Linked DNA regions of Coturnix japonica. The protein of the gene in region 1 purifies or fractionates together with the protein of each later gene. This does not show direct contact. Links are inferred from orthologs where the notes say so. Each region holds a gene or a part of one and is shown on either strand. Other genes may lie near its edges.

Region 1 (4,375 bases):
CAACAACATTAGATGAGAAATGCAGGAATGGAACAAAGAAACGGTAACGTTAAACATAAGAATATCACTCACTCTGTAGTTTATACAGACTGCTGGTCTCTCTTTTGGCTAGAAGGTTGGAGTGAGCATCTTTCCTTGGATCGACTTTGCGAACAAATAGCGATTTTAACCAACTGTCTTCACGAGGTCTGCTAGCTGAAGATACCATCCCCCTACATATTAACAAGTACATTACACTGTCACTGAGCACGTCTTGAAAATGCCCACAACGCAGGGAAGACGGGCACAATCAAGTATAATACAAACAAAATTATAACAGTTACACCCAGCTCTGTCCCTCAGTCTTTCCACTGAGCCACTTGGCAGCAAGGTAAAGGCAGCTCTTTTCACACTGGGATTTACCTCCTCACAAACCATTTTATGTGATACAGAGCTGAACACTTAACCACGCTCTCTCTGCTCTCATTCTTTGTAAGCAATGCAAGAAATGGGTAGGTGGCTGCTTTTGTTGTCTTTTTATATTCTTTTTAATTAAGTGTATTTGCCCAAGGTCTGTCTTGATGTATACAGACGGGAATGAAAAAGAGCAAGAAGTGGCATAAGGAAAGATTTGTACAGTGTAAATAAGTGCCATATGTTCCTATGTATGCTTAAATACAGCCCTGGAAAGGAAAAGTTAAGTGACACATCTATGGTATTTAACTGAATCTTTATGCCCCAAGCTTGAATGCTTTTTCTTCTTACTCAAAGGAAGCACTTCCTTCAGTCCACCCCTTTATGATATAGAGTTTCTGCTGAAATATTAAACTATTTATCTGAAGTACTAAGGAACCAGCAGCCCAGGTGGAAATTTAAACCATTTTCTATCTCAGAAGTCAACTTAATACCCTGCACCACTGACTATGAGATCCAGATGCCAGGTTTCGATCTTCAGATACAAAGCTTTCTTCCAGTATCAAAACTTTCTGACAATTCCTCAAAGGAAAAGAAAAAAATAGAAGAAAATATCAACTTCTTTTGGTGGAAAAAAAAATAAATCTCAAAGAACACAATTGTCTGTATTACACAGAAGGAATTCGCACCAGCAGCACTCCTCAACAATCAACATCTGAAAACCTAATGAACTGGGATACCCTGTGGAAGCAGAACAGATGAACTGAGAAGTATTTCAGAGCAAAGAAATAGTAAGAACCAAAACAACCACAGCCAAGACAAATTTTGATGCTAAGAAGTAATTGGTATTTTGTCTTATTTATTGAACACAGGGGTCTATTCAGCCCTAAACAAACATACAAGCACATTCCTGTCCAGTCAATACAGCTGTTGCCAGAAGAGGGTGGTACAGGAGGAGAGGTTTGATCTCAACTGAGGGAGGAGAGAGGCACAGGTGACAACACACCTACTAGACACAGAACTGGGCTCCAGGAGGTACGACTCCATTTCAGCCCTGCAGTGCCTGTTCTATCATCCTGTACACTACTGGTATATTCTCCCATTCAGAACGCTCTTCTATGAGGAATAAAACAAGTATTACAGATGATTATGCAATCATTTACTCAGGAACTATAAAGTTCCGTATCAACAAGGACTAATATACCACAACTAGCCATCTAAATGTTTACTTTACTTACAATAAAGTATGGTAACTGCTGAAGTTGATTAAAACAGCATCTCAGACGAGACACACTGAGTGTCTACAGCCTTAATTTTCACCACCATATCCCTTGAGATACACTACTGGTGTCCATCTGGACACCCACAAACCAAAATGCACTAAGCTGACTGCCAGCTCACCTGCCTGGGCCACCTGTGCCCATAGTCACCTCAAGAAGAGCCAGAATGCTCAGAATGAATATGTACACACTATAGGGAATGTACACACTATAGGGAATTACCATCACGGCTCACAACTTCTTATTTTCTAGGAATGATGCTTATTAAAGAGTTTTCATGCAACCTTTTAAGGCACTGCTTAACTTTGCTAGCCAATGCTTGTCCTGCAAATGTTATCTAAAGGCTCAGATTTCTTGCTACAAAGATTGGGCTGAGACCATAAGAGGAGAACAATGAATAACTTGGTCATATTAAATTAACAATGCTGCTGAGGACATTTCCATCTGCCTTTTGCGTTAGCATACAATATAAAGTGGGTAGAGTGGGAGGTATCAGGTGAAATATATAGATTCAGTAGTAATCAATGTCTGCCTGCAAGAGAAAGAAAAACAACTTGTCTGTAACAGGCACTTTTTAATTTGCTAAACAGACGTCAAAGCTGATTCGGAACTCAATAAGTACAACACTGTGTGCACCTGCTTCAACAAGCTGCTGGCAGCGTTAACCCCACGGGCATTGCTGCCCATTGTAACCCCGAGGATGTGTGGAGGACACACAGAGGTGCTGCCCATTCTAACCCCGAGGGCCCGACGCGGCGCTGGCCGCGCTCCTGACGCGATCCCCACCCCTGGGCGGACTCGGGGGAGGGGTCCGGCCTCGCTGCCCGTGACCTTGAGGGACGCCCCATGGCCGCACTCCCCGCCCTACATGAGGCGGCGGGCCCGGCTGCGGCCCTTCAGCGACAGAGGGGCGCCATTTCCAGACGGGAGAGGGGAGGCCGAGCGTGTGTGGCAGTGGGATCCGAGCGGGCGGCGGCTGCTCCCTCCCCCGCCTCCCCCTTCTCCCTGGGCCGCCCTCTCCCGCCCGCCTCGCCCCCCTCAATGCTCACCTGAGGGTCAGGCCGCCGCCTGACGGGAGACGCGGCCCCGCGCCCGCTCCCGCCGGGCTCCACCTCAGCAGCACACGCGCCGCCATCTTGGCTCCGGCCGCCTCCCTCCTGGGCCGGCTCTGGGGCTGGTAACGCTGTAGCGCCGCCGCCGGCAGAGGGGGCAAAAATGGCGGCGGGGTGAGGGGGGTCCTCCAGCCACGCCTCGGTGGCAGCAGCAGTGCGCATGCGCGGAAGGCCCGAGCCTGGAGCCCGCCTCCCGCTGGGGGGTCGGGGTCCCACGAAACAGCGAGTCGGGCCGAACGGTTCCGTTCCTGTGCTGGGGATGGAGATGCACGATGTATATTCACCTGACTAAGAGCCCACATTCCTTCCACTCAGCTGCAGGTCTTAATCAGCCAGCTGTAATTAATGACCTACATCAACCACCTCAACACACAGATCAACAACAGAACTACAGCCCCGGATTAAAGATGCCTTCCCAAAGTCACAGAATCACAGAATGCCCCGGGTTGGAAGGGACCTCAAGGATCATGTAGTTCCAACCCCCTGCCTGGCAGGGCCACCAAACATACACCTTTACTAGATCAGGTTGCCCATGGCCCCGTCCAACCTGGCCTTGAACACCTCCAAGGACGGGGCATCCACAACCTCCCTGTGCAGCCTGTTCCAGGGCCTCACCACTCTCCTAGTGAAGAACTTCCCCCTGACATCCAACCTAAATCTTCCCTCTTTCAACTTAAAACCATTTCCCCGTGTCCTGCTATTGTCAGCCCTTTCCAAGAGTTTACTCCCCCTCCTGGGAGTAAGTTCCCTTCAGGTATTGAAAGGCTGCAATGAGTCAGACCATATTCTTATAAACTTCCATCTTCCCATCAAGAGATCCATCTCTCTCAGATCTAAATGCTCTTTGGACAGGCTACAAGCAGCAATGCTAAGCTACCCAAACATTCTCACTTTACTGCCATAATAAAGGCAAGTGGTTGTAATTCCATCAGATCTTAGAAGTTAACACAGTGGTGGCAGGAGGAACTCACAGAGAAACTGAGCACACATGCAGGTAAGCTCCTTGTAAAGCTCCTAAACTTCATTTCAAAAGGTTTAATAGCATTTTAAAGCCTACAAATCACAAAAGATGGCCTGAAATACAGAACAATTAAAATAGAATGACTCTCCTACCACATATGGTAGTAATTTCATCTCTCGGTATAACAAGAGTCATTTCAAGTGAGCAGCTGGCTTTGGAAAGTGTCAAGGCTTTGGGCAGAACTACATGCAACAAAACAAAGCGTTAACATTTAACTCACATTTTCCATAGTTTCATCTGAGGCACCAAGTTTTTCCCATCTGGAACATCCTGTTCTTAGAAGCAACTACATTTGCTACTTATATTTTGACTACAGGTTTCACCAAAACATTTTTAACATACAATTTCAGGGCCCCAAACATCCCTGATAGAGATGAGCTGGAAAAGCCCCGTTTGATTCTTTTTTCTCTACTATTTGTCTGTTGAACAAACTTTAAGTTCCTGGAGTTTTTCACTTAGATAGGTGGTATCTGCCTCTGTCAGGTTTTCTGAATCAGATAGATTTTCAAGGAACCTGGTTCCTGCACAGGGCTTCCCTGTGATTGGATCGATGACGTTTCCAACCTTGA
Region 2 (3,812 bases), on another chromosome or scaffold:
ACCTCCTATCCTGCTAGTGGATACCAAAGCATGCAGCTATTCCTTCTTTATTACTTCTGGTATTTATACACACTGGTAAGATCCCCCCTGAGCATTCTCTTCTCGAGGCTGAAGAATTCCAGCTCTCTCAGCCTCTCCTCATGTGTCAGATGCTCTGGGACTCCAATCATCTTTGTGACCTTCTTTTGGACTCATCTGCCTGTTGTGGAGACTAGAGCTGCTCCTCTCAAGGGGCAGAACTTGGCACTTCCCTTTGCTGAACCTCACAAGGCTCCTGCCTGCCCAGCTCTCCTGGCCTGCTGAGGTCACTCTGAATGGCCAGTACTAGCAGTACTCCCACTGGAGTGGTTGCTAAATAAGGCCAGCTCCACTGAGGGATAGGGGAAGAGAAGCCCTGTTCTGTGTAGGGAAACCACTATTGAAAACAAACAAGAACATCACAAAAAACATCACCTCTAGGTTACCCGTCCCACGTGTCAAACGGAACAAACAAATATTGCTCAGATACACAGAGAAACCAAACACAAAGTCCTGCTATGTGAAACCCAGATCAGTGAACTCAGCCTGCTTTTCCCAGCCCAGGAAGACTAAACAGATAGGAATGAGATGAAGCACAAGCTTTCACAGATGAAGAACCCTGAAAAAAGCCCCCCAAAACTAAACCAGAACAACAAGACCAGTTCTGTTGTTCAATATAGGCCTTTTCCACAGCCCCGCTTGCAGTAGAGTGGGCAGGGATCCAGGCACCATTTTGAGCAGCCTGTGGAGAATATTATCCTTTGTGTGTACGGTTAAACTCACCACACATCTATACAGCTTATTTATTGCTACCTGGGATCTCATCTTCTTACCTGGGATTCAGCGAGGTATCCGGTGTCATGCCCCTGATCAAGACCAGCCTTTACGACCTATTTAAAAACAACAATAAAGATTTCCCATGACTAAAGGCATGTCCACCAACAGCTGTGCTATCATAATTGCTTAGCTGCACCTCCCGTTTTCACCAGTGACCACTATTGAGTATTCAAAGGGCGCTTCAAACACTCTGGGTCCTGTTCATGCTGTTCAAAGCAAAGTTAGGAATCACCTTGTCCTAGCACAAAGTACCATGGCAGTGAGTTTTCTGTCAGGTTGGTATTTACACACACCTTACGGATTCAGGAATTGTTTCAGCAGGACTCTGCTCCTGTAAGGTCAGAGCTCTCAGTTAGAGGGTGATGTTCACAGGTTTTAGAGGTGAAAAGTCACTTAAAAGAAACAAAAATCCAACCAAGGATAATGTCTGCAATACAATGCCTGTTTTAACCTTTTGTGGGGTTAGTGTTAGGAAAACAGCACTGGTTTTATTGACAAAGTTTTACAGACAAAGTATTCCAACCTAAGCATTCCCTCACTTGGGTTTCATACAATCATAGAATGGCCTGGGTTGAAAAGGACCATAATGACCATCTGGTTCCAACTGCCCTGCTGTGAGAAGGGTCGCCAACCAGCAGAACAGGCTGCCCAGAGCCACATCCAGCCTGGCCTTAAATGCCTGCAGGGATGGGGCATCCACAGCCTCCTTGGGCAACCTGTTGTTCCATTACCATAGAAACTAACAATCATGTTCTGGGAAGCTATTCTGAATTTTACCATTTTTTGCTGGGCAGACCACACAACCAGCCCCCATCTTCTATAAAGATCAGTCACTACCCATGGCTTTGCTGAGAAGAAGGAAACACCAACCCTGTGCCCGTTGTCATGTTATTTACCCCAAAGATCCATCTTCATTTAGGTGGTTTTCTTATGTCTCACAGTGGGCATTACCTCAATGATTTTCAGTGGAGCAGGGTACAGTCCTTTGGTTTGCTTCTGAACTTTGGTCTCCACCGTCTTGTAGACTTGCTGCCTCACAAATGGAAGAGCCATTGCATAGTCTGTTAACCCTGCAAGATGGAACAAAGCATGTCTCAGCACAGTGGCCTGTAATCAGCCTTAAAATAACAAAACCAACAGTTAAATAGTAGAATCACAGAATCACTCAGGTTGGAATGGACCTTAAGGATCATTGAGCTCCAACCACTCTTCTGTGGGCAGGATTGCCAACCTCTAAACCAGGCTGTCTAGGGCTTGATGCAACCTGGAGGTGTGAATGTTGTGTAGCTGCAATATGAGTATGCACAAAAAACTCAGCTAATCACAGGTAGCATGATCTGCTCAGGAGGCATCTGTGGCTTTCTCTATGGATAAGTCTCTTCTAGGGCTAAGGTATCCTCCTAATGCAACTGCAAAGCAGACCTGAACAGAGGGATGTCAATTTCCAGGCTCTGTTAACTGTACAAGGGCATGACTAAAGAGGATCAGTTCAGGGCACACCACCATGTCACTCCTCACCTGATTACATAAGCTTTGTACAGAACCTGCAACTGCACAGCGACCTTCTAACCACCAACCCACCTGGCTCAGGAGACAACTTACAGCATCTAATAACTTTGCTTTGATGACAAAACTATGTAGGAGCATGACCTCTGAGCAAGGCTGGATTAATATTCACTACAGTTCTTTGGCTTGGGCTGTGGTGCCCAGACTTACTCTGTACTAGTCCTTTTGATCTCTTGGCAGACACAGTCTTGTTGGCTAACCCTCTGGCAAAGCCAATTGCTACCTCCTCCAAGTACTCAATTGTTCGTGCATCTGGAGCCTTCACACCTGGCCCTGTGAACAAAAGAAAAGTCTTGAGGAAACACAACAGAATTTACCATTGATGAGAGGGTGTGACAGTAACAGGATATTCCTTTTAACTGCTACCACTCTGCCCCCTGCCTGCTTGACTTTTCTTGATTCTGAAGGTCTCCAAGATATTTAGTGTTCATACTATTCATACAGAACTGCCAACGCGTCAAATCCCAATGGAAGCCAATGGCTGTACACCAATTAAACACAAACACTCATTTCAGAGAACAACAGAAAAGTTTTAGTTGGATGGGAACATGGCCAGACAGTCAGACCTACTGCTCAAAGCAAGGCCAAGTTCAAAGTCTGGTTTTAACTTGAGAATTCCATCAGGTTACTCAGGAATGGCCCTGAATATGTTTGGTCTGGCTCTGAATATCTCTGAGAATGAAGATCCCATCACCTCTCTAGATCCTTGTTTCACTGTCTGACTGTGAAGACCTTTTTCTAACACCTAACTATCATTTACCTTGTTGCTGTTTGTGCTCCTTCAAATAGCATTACCCCAGCTGAATGGCAATGTGAATACTCAGTAAGGAAGCCCCTTGGCACTGGGTGCTATTTGAAGGAACAAGAACTGCCTCCAATGATTGCACATCACCTTTTTTTGTGTTCCTTCTATATTGTAATCTGGATTGAGTCAAGGGTGGTAAGTTAGCCCTTAAAGGTAATTCACACTTCATATACACAGCAGTAAAGCTTCATGAGCAGATTTAACTCAAGCCTGTGCACCATGGAGCTATTTTATAAGTGAGAACCGAGCTAATAACATCTCATCCAGCTGGTCTGAGACAAGGCACACGGGAGCTTCCCTTGCATTTCTCAGGGTAGACAGCAGCACTTTTAAAATAGGCACACATATTTTCTTCGCATTCAGGAGCACTTGGAAGTGCAATCTGCTCTGCAGCCTGCAAGGTTCATCTCCATTCAGCTGAAAGTCAGCAATTCAGACTGCCTAAGCTGTTGGGGGTTGGCCTCTTCTCAAGATCTTGCCACTGGAATTAACATCTGCAGGCTGCATAAGCATTATAGATTCCAGTCTGTTCCTCTGACATGATAAATGAGGAATGTAGGTTCTCAACTTTATTATTAGCTTAAGC

The links.
Region 2: the proteins of NIPSNAP2 (region 1) and HADHA purify together in Homo sapiens (affinity purification with mass spectrometry; 3 studies listed by BioGRID and IntAct, with this or other methods). This does not show direct contact. The link is inferred for Coturnix japonica from reciprocal best matches to the Homo sapiens genes NIPSNAP2 and HADHA.

What each region holds. Positions count from the first base shown.
Region 1 is NC_029534.1:3,694,909-3,699,283, reverse strand, and holds the start of NIPSNAP2 (protein NipSnap homolog 2), read right to left. Parts: upstream 2,913-4,375; 5' UTR 2,809-2,912; coding exon 2,723-2,808; intron 939-2,722; exon of another isoform or gene 902-938; intron 213-901; coding exon 73-212; intron 1-72. Other genes in the region: MRPS17 (28S ribosomal protein S17, mitochondrial), read right to left, coding at 4,218-4,375. UniProt on the Homo sapiens protein: Protein involved in mitophagy by facilitating recruitment of the autophagy machinery required for clearance of damaged mitochondria.
Region 2 is NC_029518.1:95,806,426-95,810,237, forward strand, and holds part of HADHA (trifunctional enzyme subunit alpha, mitochondrial), read right to left. Parts: intron 2,695-3,812; coding exon 2,572-2,694; intron 1,926-2,571; coding exon 1,807-1,925; intron 909-1,806; coding exon 852-908; intron 1-851. UniProt on the Homo sapiens protein: Mitochondrial trifunctional enzyme catalyzes the last three of the four reactions of the mitochondrial beta-oxidation pathway.